Rhinolophus ferrumequinum: one gene and its partner. The protein of the gene in region 2 purifies or fractionates together with the protein of the main gene of each other region. This does not show direct contact. Links are inferred from orthologs where the notes say so. Each region holds a gene or a part of one and is shown on either strand. Other genes may lie near its edges. The genes, in order: EDC3 and PIM1.

Region 1 (9,639 bases), on a different chromosome or scaffold from region 2:
TTGGGGACTTGAGTTATTGCCCTAGAAAATCATACTGTGAGAGCCACCTCCCTCCTCACCCAAACACAACTACAAAAATGCCCGAGTTACCGCTTACAACATCTTGGAAATGAAGTTCCAATCTTCAAACTAGAATACACATATCCCCAGGGGTACACGAGATATGCAAGCAAGCGAATCTCTTTCATAATAAACCTGATTTGCCTAGATAATTGGATTATCAATAAAATATCTTCAGCCATAAAATTTATTACTTCGGGACAGGGGTCAGAAAACTACAGCCCATGGGCCAAATCTGGCTCACTACCGATAAAGTTTTATGGGAACACAACCATGCTCAGCTGTTTGCTTGTTGTCTGTGGCTGTTTTCACACTACAATGAAAGAGCTGAGTGAGTAGTTATGACAGATTACGTGCCCCACAAAGCCTACCGTCTAGCCCCAAACAGAAAAAGTTTGCTGACTCCTGCTTTAGGATAAAATTCTGTGGGAAAAATAAAATGGATATAAGTTCAAAAAGGAAAAGGAAAAATATGAAATGGACAATTCCCAGAATGATACAAATTACCAAAATTACCAAGAAGGAATAGAAAATGGGGATAGACCTGTATCAAGTAAAGAAATTGAATTAGTAAATTAAAGAAACACCACAAAGAAAAGCCCAGGTCCAGCGGAGTTCATTGGTAAATTCTATCAAACATATAGAAAGAAATAATTAACAATCCTACACAAACTCTTTCAGAAAATATAAAAGGAAGATTTCCCAACTCATGAGGGTAGTACAGTTGACCCTTGAACAATGCAGAAGTTTGGGGAACCAACTCCTATGGAGTCAAAAATCCGAGTGTAACTTTTCACTCCCAAAAAGCTTAACACTGTTCCTTGGTATCCACAGGGAATTGATCCAAGACATGGCCACACCCACGCAGACACCAAAATCCACGGATGCTCAAGTCCCTTATATAAAATGGCATGAAACAATGCACACAGTAGACCCTCCACATCCATGAATTCCCAACCGCGAATTGAAAATACTGTTTGTGATCTACTGTTGGTTGAATCCGTGGATGCGAATCCCAGAGATAGAGAGAGCCGACTGTATATTGAGAAAAATCTGCATATACGTAGACCCAAACAGTTCAAACCCATAGTGTTCAAGGGTCAACTGTGTTACTCTGATACTAAGGCCACACAGTCTAAGAAAAGAAAACCTCAGCTCACTATCCCTCATGAACACAGACACAAAAATTCTTAACAAAATATTAGCAAATTGAATTCAGCAACATATAAAAAGTATTATACATCATGACTAAATGGGGTTCATTACAGAAACAAAAGATTGGCTTAATATGTGAAAATCAAGTAATGTAATACACATTTATACATATCTTAGAGGGGTTATTTTTATATAAGAAAGGCTATTTGTATATTTTTAAAACATAAAATTGCTATTATATTTAGATAACTTTGTATTTATTTTTAAAAAGTCAATATTCACAATGTCAGAAATTACACCCTAAACTTTTAAAAATTAAATGTTTAATCTATTTAAATTTACGAAAAATTTCAGATGCCAACTTAAAAGTGTGTAAGAGATACATAAATTTCCCAATGTTTTGGACACTCTCAAGCAAAAATGTGTTAAGACTACACTGACCCCAAATATGCCTGAAATGACAAGGGGAAAAAGAATTACTCATGCCAAAGGAATGCCACCGTATCTTCAGACAGCCAATAATAAATTCTTTTTAAAACTGACAAATTCCAACTCCTTTTCACTACTACCCCCAAATTAATTTACTCTTACAGAGTACCCAGACCTAAACCTAATATTCCAGGTGTGAGCCAACCAGTTCCGGGGTCAAGTGATGTACCTCCCTCATTCTAGACCTTCCGTTCCCTTAATGCAACTAGCGACTGCAGGCCCCACCAGTTCTCCCAGTCTAACCACACCCCTGAATCAGATGACTGAGACTCCACTTCTTTTTATTACGTGAGCCCCTCCTAAGTCCCATCTCTACATTAACTGGTATAACTGAATTTTTTGGATCCAAGGGAATTCCTCACGTTTATATAACCCTTCCATTTCATTAAATTGCACTGGGAAAATCTTGAGATTAACCAGATGATACTTTCTCTCTTCACTTCATTAAGGCAACATATTTGATAGCACACCTTCCAGATAAGACTTCAAAAACATACTGTATATAAACAAAGTGACAGAGTCTCAACTCAGATCAACAGAATCCCAGCTATAAGTGGGATCAAACTGCTCAGACACAGATACTCAAAGTTATGACTCCATCTAATTTTAACACAATCTGGCAAATTCCTCCATCTAATTCACGGGGCCATCATAAAAGACTTAACAAATGCCTTGTTAAAACAGACACACTATCACTATGCATACTACATTCCTTTGGGCCACCATTTGCATGTCCTGCCCTGTTGTTCTGGCTGAATTTATAACTTGAGTAACTGCTACTCTGGCTGAGAAGAACAGAAAAATGACACATTTTCCACTGTGCATTAACTGCAGAATCTTAGAAATGAATCACAAGGATTTAAACATTTTCTAGTCCAGTGTTTTTCAAATTACAGGCCCATTTCAGGCCCATTAGTAGTCAATGTAAGTGAGTTGCAATCAACTTTTTTTCTTTCAATGAAATGGTGTCAGAGGGCCTCATATGTAGAAAGGCTAAACTTTTGTGGTGTGTGTGTGTATACACTGTGCATACAGGGGGCATACTGAGTCATGATGTAGTTAGTATGTACCTAACTGGGTCATAATTTAAAAGTTTTTTGTTTTTTAATTTTTTTTTAACAGGACTTTATTGGGGAACAGTATGTATTTCCAGGACTTTATTGGGGAACAGTGTTTTTCCCAGGACCCATCAGCTCCAAGTCAAGTTGTTGTCCTTTCAATTTTAGTTGTGGAGGACGCGGCTCAGCTCCAACTATAGTCACCAGTGTTCAATCTTAGTTACAGAGGGCACAGCCCACCATCCCTTGTGGGACTCCAACCCGCAACCTTGTGGTTGAGAGCTCGCGCTCCAACCGAGTCACCCATCCACCCCTCAAAAAACTTTGAGAGAAACTTTGCTAGTTCCGCAGCCCTACTCCCACAAGGAAGCGCCATCAAAAAATTCTTAGTAATCAAAAAGTTACATTATTTATAACCATCTTCACTTCATACAAAGAAACCAACAAACAGGAATTTTGTGCTCAGTACACCTATCTGCTATTCATTTAAAAAAAAAAAAAAGACTAGAATCCATCTGAGGTTTCCAGTTGATATAGGGACTTGCTCAGAGACAGTCACTTAGGCTTTGATGGGATGAAAACCAGTATCGACAGACAGCAGAATGAAATTACCTTAGTCTGAGGCCAGGAAAGAAAAGAAAAACTATTCTGGGTCTCCAGTTCCTCATGTTAACACGGAAGAGGATCCTAGCTCCAGAATTGGGAGATTTATTGAAAACCAACTGGCCAAGGAGGCAAGAACTATGCCTCCCACACACCAAAACACGTTCACCACGTCAACAAGTCAATTATTGATCAAGTCAATCAATCTCACACACAGAGTACTGATGAGCAGCTCAGACTTATACCACCACCAAGAAAGAATCAAGAGGCCGACCCCAGGATTCAGCAGAAGCTGGGCCCTGGCAGGTGTCATAAATTTCTCCGCCACCCTTCCCTTTCAGACCCCAGTTCACCTGGGTCCTCAAGCTTTCAGTCATGGATGTGGCACTCGCACTCTTCCCTGCCACCCTACCCTACTGTGGAAAGGGAGATGAGGCACGGAGCAACGAGTGGCCGCGCCGCAGCAGCCATCAACAAGGCCAAAGCAAGAGCCTAGGCCGCTACTGCCTCCCACCTCAGCCAACTCCCAGACTGTCCGGACACCCGCGGTCCTCTGCTCCCACCTCGAACCACACACCCCCCGGCAGCCCCGAGTTCCTGGCCCGCTGCGTGCCCGAGGTGGCCCCACCTCGTGCCCGCCTCCATAAAGGTCTCCGAGGCCTGGAACCCCGAAACCTAAAAGCAAACTCGCCTGGCAACCCCGGAAGCCCCCTCTCACGAGCGCCCACAAACCAGCCGCCGCCCCTCGCTCCCACCTCCACGCCGTCGGGCCCGTGTATCCTCGGCACACCAAGCCGAGCCGACCAGCCGCGCCACGGAACCCGGAGACGGAGGGGCCACTCCACGCCCACCCCCACAGCCGGGGCCGCCACTGCCGCCGGAAGCGCCCCGCGTCTCCACGCCGCCGTCGTGAGGTCACTTCCGGCGCGACGCCTTGGAAACCTCAGGGTGCGGCTTTGGGGGGCGGGGCGCCCGGGAAATTTGAGAGCTTGAGAGCCAGACCTGCGGCCTCCCGGAACCGCGCCGGGGCGGCCGTTTTGCATGTCCTTTCTACTTATAGCGGCTGGACTCCTGGTTAGAATCGGTGTCCCGCCGCCCTCCCCGGCCCAGATGCCGGGGGACTCCGTTCTTTCTTGCATTCTTGAGGACAAGCTTCGGCTTTCCCTCCCCGCTTTGCGCCAATCTCCGAGCAAGAGCGGAAGACTGGGGGGAGTGGGGCTGGCCACCCCGTCCTTAATCAGTGGCAGCTGTGGGATGCTATAAGTAGGCTCTCCGGACGGATTATAGGAAACAAGAAATTCCCTTCGTGGCTGATCTTCAGTTTATCAGCTTATGTTCATTTGGGGGTTGTCAGCCAGTCTATGCTTGACCACCCCCGTCACCCGCCCCCAAGTACTTTGTACACGCGCAAGTGCCACTCTTCCCGTGGCATTTTAGTTTTGGAAGTCTTGATTTTGAAAAAAACAGGCGTTTAGGGCTACGACTGAGTGTAATGAGGAATGTTAGAGTTTAAAGTTTACGAGGTCATCTTGAAGCCTGACAGCTAGTTTGGGAACCACTGGTTGGACAGGGAGTAAAGAGTAGGGCAGCGATCCAAACCTGACTTTTCAAAATCAGTTGATGAACTTTATAAAATTTCCACTTTCCAGGGACTCCCCTCCTGTCCCTCATCACCAGAGATTCCAGTAAAGGAAGAGGTGCAGAGATAGCCAAGGAAATGTGGGTAAGCTGGCCCATCCAGGGAAATATTATACAAGTACCGTGTTTTCCTGAAAAAAAGGTCCAGTTAAGATCGTCAGCCAGATGGACACATTTAGTATGTTATGACGACATTCCAGAGGAAGATGACATGACTGTATTTGAATAAATGTAGATTGTTGTACGTGAAAAAATAAGACATCCCCTGAAAATACGCCCTCATGCATCTTTTGGAGCAAAAACTAATATAAGATCCAGTCTTATTTTCGGGGAAATACGGTATAAGACCTGGTCTTGTTTTCAGGGAAACACAGTAGTTCAACTGGATGGAGCATATATGTAAAAAGAGGAAGTGATGATAGATTGACGTACAATGATAAGCAGGAGCCATATCCAAAGGGCTTTCTATGCCCCAAGGAGCTTGGTTTTATCCTGAAGACAACGTAAAACAAAGACGTTTAAGCAAGAAACTATGGTGGGAGTGAGACCAATTGACAAATGATGACAATCCAAACTAAGGTATTACAAGTTGGGTTACAAGGTGTAAAGGTGTTGAGGAGATAGGATCAACTCCCAGGTGTATGGCTAAGGCAAAAGATTGTTTGGTGGTGCTACTTACTCAGATATGGAATTGACAAGAATGAGGAGGATGTGGGCAGGCAGTAATAGAGGAGGAAAAGGAAGTAGATGATAAATTCAGGTCTGCATATATTGAGCTTAAGGTACCTGTGGGAGCAGTTAAAAATCCTAAGACTTGGAAAACTGGGGGCCTTGCCCTAGATCCCACACTTTAGATGGCCCCCACTCTGGTTCTCAAGCCAAGCCTTTCTCTGTGGGGCTAAGGAGACATGATTACCTAGAGCTCACACTCCCACTTTCAGACCTGCTCCATTTCTCATTCCTGGGATTCCCAAATGTCCTCCCAAATGACCTGAGTCCACTTTCAGCCCGTAGCCAAGTCTCTTCCCCAGGTTTGTCCTCCTGAGGGTGAACTCACTGCCATGGTGTGAGACTCCTAGGCCCAAGGGGTGGCCAAAAACATGGCTGTTTGGGAACAGTGTGAATGGGGCTTGGATATTTAGGCTGGGATGTTCACAATGTGGACCTGAGAAGCCCCTCACAGTATGGGATGGAATAGGGGTGGGAAGAAATGGGGAACAGGTCAGGGATCTCGTGTGTGCTCTTGCCCTGGCCATGCTCATGTTAGGGAGTCTGCTAACTAGATGCTCATGTTAGGGCCTCTAGTGGGAAATGGATCATGGGGGTGTGGCGCTGAGGAGAGAGATGAGATTTAGAAGTCATCAACAACCAGGCAGTAATTAAAGTCCCAGTAATGGGCGCTGTGGTCCAGGAATAACACACCACATGAGAAGGGCCAAAGGCCAAGGACAGAACTTGGTGGAACACCAGCATTTAAGGGATACACACAGGAAGAGAATGATTCAAAGGAAATTGAGAAGCAGTAGCTAGGAAAACAAGAAAACCCAGCAGTTGAGGATGCCAAAGAGACCCAGGAAAAAGACTTTTAAGAGAGTCGTCAACAGTGCTGACTACTGTGAAGACGAGGAAGTCTGAAAATGTCCATTAGACTTAGCAACCAGGAGGTGCCTGGTGATTCTGACAGGGGTTCGAGCGTGGAGTGAAGGGGCCAGAAATCAAATTTCTGTGGGTTGAGGAGTGAATGCAAGGTGAGCAAATGGAAGCAGTGAGTGTAGAGAACTTCAAGAGGTTTGACTGTGAAGGTGAGAAGTGAGCTATGACAATAGCTATGGAGGCAAGAAGAAGGTGACAGAATTTGCTACTCACCAAGTTCTTCTGAAGTCTTCCCAAACTCCTCAGTTAGAGAATTCCACCAGGAACTGCTGGTTATAGACAGTTGTTTGAGCTGGATGGACCCTTCCCGGCCCTACAGTCAAGTTTCTGGGGACCACTGTAGATAAGGGGGCACCCACTTGCCTCTCCTGATGTATGGAGACTTGCTTCTGCTTTCATGTGCTGCAGTCCTCACTACCAGTAACAGTCGCCAACAGGGACGTCAACCATTGGAGAATTAAATAAATTCTTAGGTTGAGAATAGCACAGCACTAATCCACAGTCCTTGACTTGCTGGCACGTCGTGGAGTTCTAGAATGGCAGAGCTGGAAGGAACCTTAGAAATGGCCTGCTTCACCCCCATTAATATAAGTGGGGGTTTAGCAAGTTAATGGTGGATCCAATACTGGGATTTGGGTCTCCATTACTTACACATAGAGGAACATATGTCCTGGTTTGCCTGAAACATTCCCAGTTCTTCCCATTACCCTGTCATAAGGATCAATATCACCCCCTTTACTCTCAAATATGTTCTGGTTTAGACAAATTCTAAGTCACCCCACTTATCTAGTATAGGTTTGGGGGCTAAGCAAGCCCCAAATTACTAATTACTTAAGATTATTTTTGCTTTATGTGATCTAAAAGGTTTAAGTGTCTTAAACTCTTACATGTCATTTTGTAAGTGAGGTAATGTACATGAAAGCAGGTCCTGGACTATAAAATGCTAAACAGAGATTAGAATTAAAAAGAATAACTTTGGATTGAGCAAGCATTTCTTAAATATAACACCAAAAGTACAGGCAACAAAAGAAAAGATAAACAAATTAGACTTCATCAAAATTAAAAAGTTCAGTGCTTCAAAGAACATATCAAGAAAGCAAAAAGACAACTTAAAGAATGGGAGAAAATATTTGCAAATCATATCTGATAAGGGTCTAGTATCCAGAATAAAGAACACACACGCCTCAACAACAAAAAGATAAACAACTCCATTTAAAATGGGCAAATGACTTGATAGGCATTTTTCCAAAAAAGATATACAAATGACCAACAATGAAGAGGTACTCAACATCACTAATCATTAGGGAAATGCAAGTCAAAACCTCAATGAGGTACCACTTAAGACCCACAAGGATGGCTATAATTAAAAATAAAAATTAAAAAATGTAAGTGTTGGTGAAGATGTGGAGAAATTAGAATCCTTATGCATTGCTGGTGGGAATGTAAAATGGTGCAGCTACTGTGGAAAACAATGTGGCAGTACCTCAAAAAGTTAAACATAGGGGCCGGCCCGGTGGCTCAGGTGGTTAGAGCTCCGTGCTCCTAACTTCGAAGGCTGCCGGTTCGATTCCCACATGGGCCAGTGGGCTCTCAACCACAAGGATGCCAGTTCAACTCCTCGAGTCCCGCAAGGGATGGTGGGCAGCGTCCCCTGCAACTAAGATTGAACACGGCACCTTGAACTGAGCTGCCGCTGAGCTCCTGGATGGCTCAGTTGGTTGGAGCGAGGGCTCTCAACCACAAGGTTGCCGGTTCGACTCCGGCAAGGGATGGTGGGCTGTGCCCCCTGCAACTAGCAACGGCAACGGCAACTGGACCTGGAGCTGCACCCTCCACAACTAAGAGTGAAAGGACAACAACTTGAAGCTGAACGGCACCCTACACAACTAAGATTGAAAGGACAACAATTTGACTTGGAAAAAAAAGTCCTGGAAGTACACACTGTTCCCCAATAAAGTCCTGTTCCCCTTTCCCAATAAAGTCTTTTTTAAAAAAAAGTTAAACATAGAATTCCCATATGACCCAACAATTTCACTTCTAGGTGTATGCCCAAGAAAATTAAAAACATATGTTTAAACAAAATTTTGTGCAAGAATGTTCACAGCAGCACTATTCACAATAGCTAAAGGTGGAAACAACCTAAATGTCTAACAAAAGAATGGATAAACATGGAGACAAAAAGTAGGAGGTTACTGGGGCTCAGGGTGGAGGAGGAAATGGGAAGTGACTACTTAAAATGGGTATGGGATCTCTATAGATATTTCTATTCTAGACATTTCATGTAAATGGAATCAAACAATATTTGGTCTTTTGTGACTGGCTTCTTTCACTTAGCATGTTTTCAAGATTCATTCATGTTACATGTTGAAGCATGTAACAGTACTTCATTCCTTTTTTATATAATGGCTCTATAATATGCCATTGTATGGATACATCGCATTTTGTATACACATTCATGTACAAGTTTTTATCTGAACAACTGTATTCAATTCTCTTGGGCATATATCTAGAAGTAGATACACCAAATCACTTGGTAATTCTGTGCTTAACATTTTCAGGTACCACCAAACTGTTTTCCACAGTGGATGAACCAATTTATTAATATATTACTGCCAGCAATACAGGAAGGTTTTTTCCAATTTTTCCATATCCTTGCCAACATTTATTCCCCATTCTTTTTCTGTAGTCATTCTAATGGATGTGAGTAGTGGTATCTCAATCTGGTTTTGACTTGTATTTCTCTAATGACTAATAATGTTGAACATCTTTTCATGTACTTACTGCCCATTTGTATATCTTCTTTGGAAAAATGTCTGTTGAAGTCCTTTACCAAGTTTTGAACTGAGTTGTCTTTTTGTTGTTGAGTTGGGGTTTCTTTTCTGGGGTGAAAATGTTCTAGAATTAGATCAGGGGTGTCCAAACTGCGGCCCGCGGGCCAACTGCAGCCCATGATCCATTGTTAATTGGCCCGCAGCAAATTCCA
Region 2 (9,287 bases):
CCCACCCCCCCACCCCAGGATTTTGCAGAGTCCAACAATGCTGGCTGGACACCTATGAGGAGAGCGCATCTACGAGGAGTTGAGGCCTAGGACACCGAGAGTAGAGTCTCTTCCCCTGTCGGGAGGCACCCTCCAGGGGCCTGGGGTCTGGAATGAGTTGTAAATGTTGTTCCTGTATCAAGCACTGTCCTGCTTGGCGAGAAGTGTCACTGGTACTCGGGAAGCTGGAAACAGAAGCTTCCCCTGCCTCCCCCGAACATCTGACAGGAGGGGAGGACCTACTGGAAAAGCTGTTATTTGCTGGGCCCTGGCGACAGGCTGTGGAGATGGATCTCAGCGGTTTCCTGGGGCAGGAGGACATCTTGCATCCACGGATGATTCTGGATTTCTTCGAAGGATGGCCGATCTGATGGTCTCAAGGCCAAGCACCATCTAATGAGATGCTGACACTCTGCAGAAAACAAGACAGAGGTTATGAGTGATTCAACTTGTTTGTGTAATGCAAAGCTCTTCCCAATTTGCTTCCCAGGGGCCCACAAGTCTGGGGTCCAGAGACCGCATACTTTCTAGAACTCATATTCTTTAATGAGAAGGTATTAACATCTGGAGTCTGCTTTCAGCTGAAAAAAAAAAAACCAGCTCCCCTCTTAAACCTGTGGTTTTCAAACTTCAATAGCTGGGGCCTTTCCCACGACGCCCACTCACCAGAAATAGGAAAGATGATGACAAGGGATTTTGATGAGACATCAGTGAGCATGATGAGGTGATTCAATTCACCTACCAACTTACAAATACGAACACCACCCACAATGAGGTCACTGGAACCGCAATATTTAGAGCCTGCCTTAAGGGAGAAAGAAGGCTCAAGGAGCCCTCAACGTTTCCCTCCCTGGCAAAACAGCCAGGGGCTGTGAGGCACCAGGATGGCTCTGTTGGTACTTTAAAGAACCTTTCATCAAAAAACTAGATGGTCTTTTTTTCTTAACACTCTCCTACTTGCTCTTCCAGTGACCTCCCAAGGAATGCTCAAATGCTAACCATTAGATTGCTGGGGGCCAGCTCTCCAGGGTGAATCACTGGCCGAGGATTCTGCTAAGCCAAAGGTTGGCTGGCATCTCCTGGAGGCAAGCTCTCCAAAATTCAAAGACTGTCCTCAAAGGACTAACCACCTTGTGATTCCTGCTTTCTCAACCAGGGGCTTCCCAGAAGTTACCTGAAGAGACCCTCTGCCTGAAGAAGACTTGGCCCCTGATGATCTCCTCATCATGCTCAAAAGGAATATCTCCACAGACCATATCGTACAGCAGGATCCCCAGAGACCAGACAGCCGCAGACCTGCCATGGTAGCGATGGTAGCGGATCCACTCTGGAGGACTATACACTCGGGTCCCTGAGGCGGGGGAATAGGAAGGAAAACAAGCTTTTAGAGAAAATAGGACACAAAGCAACTGAGTAGTAAGCTGAGTAACTCAAAAAGCATCGCCTCCCTTCTCTCAGGAGCTGGGTGAACTCCATTTTCCCTCCTAGGCTCAAAGGAGTGGATAAGCGGCCTATGGCATCTCTCCAACCCAAAGCATTACCCACCTCTCTACCAGGCCCAGACCATAAACCGAAATTTTTTACAAACTGCTCCAAGAAACAAACATGGGTGGCCACAGACCCAAAGCCTGAGGCCTGTATGTGGCAGGACCACCCACAATGGGATGAAGACGTGAATGTCTGAACAATCAAGGGAGGTATTCCACAGACTATCCTTAAACTGCATTAAAGGTTGCCCAGGAGCTGGGGTGGGATTCTCATCAATGATCTAGGTGGGGACAGTTGCACAATACCCTAAGTCAGGGTGCCCTTTGGGAGGCCTTCCTCCCGCCCTCTGAGTGCAGGGGGAAGACACCCACACCCTTTCCTCCCCACACTGGAAAGGTAGACAGAGCTGCAGAGCTGGTTTCAGACCACGTGATTCCTGTTTACAAACTTTGGGTTGTAAAAAAAAAAGGGGAGGCCATCCCTCTGGTGCTCACCAGAGGGCAGCAAAGACTCAAAGGAAAAAATCATGGGAGGACCCGGCCAGCCATTAACTGTTAAATACAAAAAAATGCAGCCCAACCCAGCGTCCTCCAAGGGCAAATAAACACAAACCACAAGCCCCAGTCACAAGTTTTGAAAGGCTGTCGTTTGTTAGGTTAAGCCGCTCAGATGATGACCCGCCCTACTTTGCTTTGATGTCAGGCTCTCCATTCCATCTTTTCTGAAAGAACCCGCTCCAAGCCCCTCCCTAGGATAGGTTTTCATCCTCTCTGCGGAGACACCCAACTAATTTTCAAACCAGCAAGAGATCTTATTTCACAACATTCATTCTCGACTCCCTCACCGCACAACACACACACAAATTCAACAAAATGAATTATTTAGTGAAACTGTTTCTATTTCTTATCCGTCCCTAGATCAAAGGAGTGAAAAAAACTGCAGCTCTATAAACTACCTTACAGAAAACTCTCTTAAAAAATCACAAAACAGGCATCAATTTTCATCTCTCCCGCTCTCTCCTCCCTCTTCCCCCTCCCGTCCTTTTACTGGCGGGGAAACTGGGTCAGACTTCAGAAATCTGGGCTACGGCCGGTTGCCCACAACCTCTTATTCATCGGGAAAGCTTGGAACCCACTGAATTCCACTTAAAATATAAAATCATGCCAGAAACACTACGGGTTCAGCTGGCTTGAAATACCCGGGTTTACTACGCGGGGAAGCTCTCTTCGCCCCACCCCTGCTAGCCTGGAGCCAGGCGGCCCAATGACCTTTACAAAGGGCCGGAGAGGGAAGCTGGCCGGGGCCTCCAGGCCAGGCCGTGTCACCTGGGCAGCTCCCTCCCAGCCTTGGCTCACCGTCAAAGTCCGTGTAGACGGTGTCCTTGAGCAGCGCCCCCGACCCGAAGTCGATGAGCTTGAGCTCGCCGCGATTGAGGTCGATGAGGATGTTCTCGTCCTTGATGTCGCGGTGGAGCACCCCGCAGTTGTGGCAGTGCCGCACGGCCTCCAGCACCTGCCAGAAGAAGCTGCGGGCCAGCTCCTCCTGCAGGGCCCCCCTTTCCGTGATAAAGTCGAAGAGGTCTTGCACCGGTTCCGGCCTCTCCAGGATCAGGACGAAACTGTCGGGCCTCTCGAACCAGTCCAGGAGCCTAATGACGCCGGAGAAGCCTGAGCTCACCTTCTTCAGCAGGACCACTTCCATGGGCACGCGGGTGCCATTGGGCTGCGGGGATGAGGGAGCTGCATTAGGGCGGGAGTCGGGGGGCGCCCCTCAACCCACCCACACTGGGGGTCGCTCCCTCCTGGGCACTCACCAGCTCTCCCCAGTCGGAAATCCGGTCCTTCTCCACGTGCTTGATAGCCACCTGGAAATCACCCCAGGAGAGTATCCGTTAGATCCCCCTCGCCGGGGCCAAAACACACCGGTGCGCCCCCAACAGAACGCCCTCCCCACAGCGGGGCGCCCACTCACCGGCAAGTTGTCGGCGACACGGATGCCTGAGTAGACCGAGCCGAAGCCGCCGCTGCCCAGTAGCGGGCCCACCTGGTACTGCGACTCCAGGGGCTCCTTCTCCTTGCCTAATAAAGGGGGAGACACAGAGGACTTAGTGCCGGCCCGCGAGCCCCCAGCTCCCACCCTGGGGGCTCAGCCTTCCACCATCCCCGGGTTGGGGGGGACGCTCACCGGGCGCCAGCTTGGTGGCGTGCAGGTCGTTGCAGGGCGCGGCGCGCAGGTGGGCAAGCGAGTTGATTTTGGACAAGAGCATCCCAACCTCCAGGGTGTCGGCGTAGGGGCTGTGTCTGGAGGAGCTGCGGCAGGAGCTGGGGCTGGGGCTGTGCCGGTGGCTGTGCCTACGGCTCTGGCTGGGGCTGCGGGTGGCGTTGCGGCTGTGGCTGCGGCTGGCGCGGAAGGCCGAGGGCGAGCCGGAGGACAACTGGGGGCGCTGCCGGGGCTGGCGGCTGGCCGACTGGCCGGCGAGGTCAGGCAGCTCTAAGAGCGACGGGGTAGGAGGCTCGTGGGACTCGTGTGGCAGGGCCGCGGCACAGGGGGCTTGTAGCTGCTGCTGCTGCTGCTGCTGCTGGTGCTGGTCCCGCCGCCGCTGCCGCCAAGTCCTCTCGGGCCTCCTCCGCCACCGCGGCCGCTGCAGCAGACACCCGGCTCGCCCAGCCGCCAGGAGTAAAGGGGCGGAGCGCGCCGGCGGGGGGGCGCGCGGGCGGGCGGGGATGAGGCGGGGCCTCTCTGGGAGGCCTAGGCGGGGAGCCGGGCTGCTGGCCCTGCAGAGGGAGGAGAGGGGGTGGGGAAGCGGCGGGACCCGGAGACTCCCCCGGGGCCCCCCCCCGCGCGCTCGGTCGCCGCGCCCCGGCCCCGCCCCCGCCGGCGCATCTCCAGCCAACCAGAAGCCGACTGATCTGCATAACACGGCGTGCCCCGCCCACGCCCCGCCCAGCTCTCGCGGTCAGAATGATCTTACGCCGCCACGACGTGGCGGGAAGGAAAAGGCGCCAAAATGGAGGGGGAGGGGCGCGGGGTGTGAGGGGAGGCGGGAGCTGGGTGTCGAGCCGCGAGGGAGGAAGGATGGGGAGGGGCGTATCGATTCAAACCCAAACAATAACAAAGCCTTCAAAGGCCGCCAGAGGCCGGCTCTGCGGCTCTCCGTTTCTCGGAGGTTTTTGGGTCAAGGGCTCGAGCTGGAGCATAACAAGTTACGCAGAGACGACGGGCGTTGGCGTGTCAGGCGGGGAGGCCCGGCGGCCGGCGCGTCAGGGTGTGAGGGACTGTGTGTGTGGGGGGATGCCGACGAGGGTGGTCTTTCTGTGTGACTCAGACCCGAGACCTCCAAGTCGGCTTGGGCGGGTTGACGACACACTGTGGGCTCGAGTTGGGTCCTCGGGGGTTGGTGTGTTGGGGGCGCGTGGGGGGCGAAGGATCCGCAAGATGTGAGTCACGGCGTTTCACGGAGGGAGTGGAGGTGGCACAGGCCTGGAATAAAACTGGGGGAGAACTCCGCTTGTTCGGAGGAGGGGTCCAGATCGCGAATGTCACGGCCAGTAAAAAGAAGAATCAGCCCCCAGATTCTCAAGCAGATTTTTATTTTAAAAATGCAGAAAGGAATCCCGATTCCTAAGAAGTGATGTGTGTCTGAGTACCCCGTAAAGAGGAAATCACGAAACAAATGTTAGTATTGTGATGCCAGATGCTGTCTCAGCCCTTTGCGTGAGGGCGGGAGAGAGGAAAATTCCTCATCTAAAACGAGGGTGGGAGGGTGCGCTTTATTTAATCAGTTTCACGTTATATTTATTCACCTTTTCATCAGCCTGTTGTTACCAGTCAGGCAATGCTAGAAATTGTTGGCTGCCCCAGCCTTGTCTCAAAGGAAATCTTTCTCCCTGTCCCCCCTGGAAATAACACGGAAAACTGACCAATTCGACTTTTCATCCTTTGTCCTTTAACTCTATGTAGAATTGATAACGACGTGTGAAATGAGTAAATTAAAATTCTATGTAATCCATAAATTGAATTGTCAGTGAAAGCCAACTACATCTTACTTTAATTTTTTTTCAAGTTCTTGCCACTTAAAAAATAGGCGGTTGAAGGATCTGTGTACCTACAAATCATTAATGAATTTAAATGTTTCATTAAAAGTTTTCTACCGTGCTTATTTTATAAAAATGCCCAGGTATTTCACAACTCTTTTTATCTTATAAAATATTACATATTTTCCCTTTGTTTGTGTACTGCGACCTAACTCATTCATTTTTGAGGACTAGGACCCAAGGAAACAAGAATTATTCCCTTTTTACAGATAGGAAAATAAAACATAAGTAGAATGACACAGGGTCATACAACAGCTAAAGGAGGAAGAGATGAGATGACCCAAATTCAACTCCAGAGTAGTCAAACATTTCCTCTTATCAGGATCTAAAACTGTCCTTGGTATTAAGACATCAAGTATAAATGTATGTGAACCCCATTTCCATCTCTTCTGCTCTTTCTTTTCTCAAGCCCTGGTGGACTCTTCCCACCTGTTCCCACTCACTTAGCACTTTCCAGACTTTCTGCCTTTACAGAAGCAGTCAACCTGTCTTGAGAATGGCCTCTCTTTTATTTAAAGCTTTTACAGCCACCAGGATACAATGGTAGTTCCACCCAGGTTGCTAAACTCCAATATTCGTTCACTGTCCACTCCACTCACCTGACAATCATGTATTTGGCGGTTTTTTAATCTTTGTGTTAATGAACTTTTCAATTATTTATATGTTGTCTCCCTATTCCTTGAACGTATACTTAATCCAACGTTTGGTGATGAAGGGGAAGACCAAAATGGGTCCCAACAAAAAGGTCATGATTAAAGTCAAATTAAAGTCCAATTTAAATTATACTAAATATAAGTGAATTAAGCATGCTTAGACAAAATAAAATAAAGATTAGAAGACTAATTTAGCTTGCTTTCAAATCTGGGATCTGGCACCTACTGGTTATGTGATATTCGTCAGGATACTTAACCTTTCTCAGCTTTAGACTAAATGGAGATAATAATAGCACCTACTTCATAGAGCTGTTATAAGAAGCAAAATTCTGCATGTAAAGCAAAATTATGCTCATATAATAGCACAGAGTGAACTTATAAATATTAGCTATATGGCAATAATGCTGATTCTGATTATGACGATGATAAAACGGAAGAATTTTGGAATAGTCTTGCACTTTGGAGGTTCCAAATGTAAAATTCAGGATAAATGGTTTGATTTTTAATCATCTCTGGAGAGAATATAATTCAAAATAATTGTCTACATTAAATCAAGTTCAACCTTTTTCACTTTCTCTAGATCTTTGTAGGCCTAAATATTTAATTAGTTAGAGCTAAAGTGATTAACATTTAATATGCCTGCTTTATATGGTGGGTGCTTCACAGCTGGAAGTTGCAAAACATGGACCTTGTTTGGAAAAGAGCTTTTATTGACTTAAAACCACTTTTAAAGATAATTATTAAACCTTCAAGTATGTTTTGCATTAAAAGTTATTTTTTGAGGGCAGGGAACTTGATGTTTTGATTCACCAAAATATATTTTAAATAATAAAACAATCACTACCTGTGCTGTCTCAAAGACTCAGAAAAATCATGCTAATTATTAAATGACAAGTGCTTTTGGTAAGATAAAGGCCATGATTATGCTAACAATTCTCTGGAAAGGGGAGAATGTTATTGTTAACTTGAACAATAGCCAAATTAATCCTTAGATGGTTTCCATATTCTACCTGTTATGGATTTAATCAAGCCATTGTCAAAGGAATGACTTCAGCAATTTCTGTAATCACAGAAGTTTAGAATAAGTTTGAATGGGGTGCCTGTACATTGTTTTTTAAAGTACCTCTGAGTCTAGTTGATACATTTACATTAATTAGGTCTGTACTTTAAGTCCTCGCTTAACATCATGGACAGATTCAGGGAATTGCAGCGAAAGGACTGCATAATGAAAGCAATTTTACCATAGGTTAATTGACATAAACAAGAGTTAAGTTTAAGAGATAAGTTTTTTACGATATCACATCAACATTATAACAAAACGGCATTGAAGGAAACAACCTTATTGAAGGGCCTGCTGTATAGTTTTTTCTGTGTAAGTCTGTGTAAGCTATTTGCAATTAAGCGGGTAGAAATAATTTGGGTCTGCAGCTCTAATTTCTCTCCGACAAAAAAAAAAAGAATTAGTAAATTTTTTAAGTTTAATTTTTAAAAATTCACCACTGGGGTTGCCAGTTGGCTCAGTTGTTTGGAGCGTGGTGCTGATGATACCAGGGTTTCCAGTTCGGTCCCTACATGGGCCACTGTGAGCTGCGCCCTCTTTAAAAAAAAAATCACCATTATTTTTTGTATTCTTTCGTTTGCTGAAAAAAAGGGGAAATTTGGAGAATGCCAATTGCAATACACTTGTTTCTATACCTTAAAATATTTCCAATTACTTCAACAGTTTAAGATTATTTGGAAAAATTTAAATTTCACATATATTCCATATATGTGGAACATGGAATATATGTGAAAATTCACTACAGACTGTAAGACGTGAAACAGTCTAACTCTAAAAAGACTAATGCCTCCTTTTTAAGTTGTAGCAATTGTGGTAGTGATGGACAGCTAGGAAATTCAGAGTGTCAACTTCAGAATGGTCAGGGAATCTGTGCAGTCAAGTTAGAACTGGTTCTTGTCCTTGATAACATGTGACATTTGTTTCAAGTTTATAAATCTCTTTTAATCAGCTTTCAGTTTCCTCAGCAAGGTTGGAGAAAGAGAGTGTTTTATCCAGTAAAGTATATTTAAATTCATTTCCAATTCATTTTTTTAAAGAAATAAAATAACCTAAATTTTTTTTGGAATTTTACACATTCAGTACTGATAATTTGAGTAAAAATAATCAAAAATAATCAATATTTATTGAAGGCACTGTACACAAAGATTTTATAGCTCCTGAATATTAGTGGATAGGTAAAAACAAAAAGGAGTGGTTTAGGATGTATAAAGCCTACAGGAAACCTGGAAACTGTTATAAAATATCTTATTAGAAGACTAGGAAAATGTATGCCTCAGATCAAAAAGACCAGGCACATGAACAAAAACCCTGAGAGAAAGAAAGAAATAGAAAGGATATCATCTGCCATCTTTTAAAAAGTAAAAATAAAATTGCTTCTATAGATTCGAAAAGCCACAAAGTGCATCTAGGTGAAAGGGGCGGGGGGGGGGAAATTGCTCAAAAAGATTTTGTGGTACGTTTCTAGGCACTAAAAAGATACTAATGAAAACATTTGTTTATTGTGTATCTCGTTTGGCATTTAATAGTATACAGTCTTACTTTTCCATATTTGTTTAGTTTCTACAACTAAATCATAAATGTATTGAGGGTACAAACCATCATTTCATTGAACATACTGGCTAAGTGCTGAAAATGATTAAGTGAAAGGGGCAAAAGAGACACACTGATAGCACCCAACATTGACTGAGCATCAAAAATGTGCTAGGCATTTTCCTAAGCACTTTATATGGGTCCTCATATAAATTCTATGACATGGGCAGTTTTACTATCCTCACTGATTTACAGATAAATAAAGAGAAACAGAAGTAATTTGCCCCAGGCTACGTAAGTGGCAGCGCTACCTCCTATCTACCATGCCATTCTTTTCCAAGGAACACAAGATGAGTGTAAGGGATTTAACAAGGTATTCGACGATTAAGTTTTAACTGAGGGTATCATCCACAAGGACAGCGT

What was found.
Region 1: the proteins of PIM1 (region 2) and EDC3 purify together in Homo sapiens (affinity purification with mass spectrometry; 3 studies listed by BioGRID and IntAct, counting the BioPlex papers as one, with this or other methods). This does not show direct contact. The link is inferred for Rhinolophus ferrumequinum from reciprocal best matches to the Homo sapiens genes PIM1 and EDC3.

The regions. Positions count from the first base shown.
Region 1 is NC_046289.1:99,280,497-99,290,135, forward strand, and holds the start of EDC3 (enhancer of mRNA-decapping protein 3), read right to left. Parts: upstream 4,260-9,639; 5' UTR 4,121-4,259; intron 1-4,120. UniProt on the Homo sapiens protein: Binds single-stranded RNA. Involved in the process of mRNA degradation and in the positive regulation of mRNA decapping. May play a role in spermiogenesis and oogenesis.
Region 2 is NC_046286.1:6,943,286-6,952,572, reverse strand, and holds the start of PIM1 (serine/threonine-protein kinase pim-1), read right to left. Parts: upstream 4,246-9,287; 5' UTR 3,794-4,245; coding exon 3,712-3,793; intron 3,606-3,711; coding exon 3,499-3,605; intron 3,392-3,498; coding exon 3,341-3,391; intron 3,250-3,340; coding exon 2,883-3,249; intron 1,391-2,882; coding exon 1,214-1,390; intron 452-1,213; coding exon 294-451; 3' UTR 1-293. UniProt on the Homo sapiens protein: Proto-oncogene with serine/threonine kinase activity involved in cell survival and cell proliferation and thus providing a selective advantage in tumorigenesis.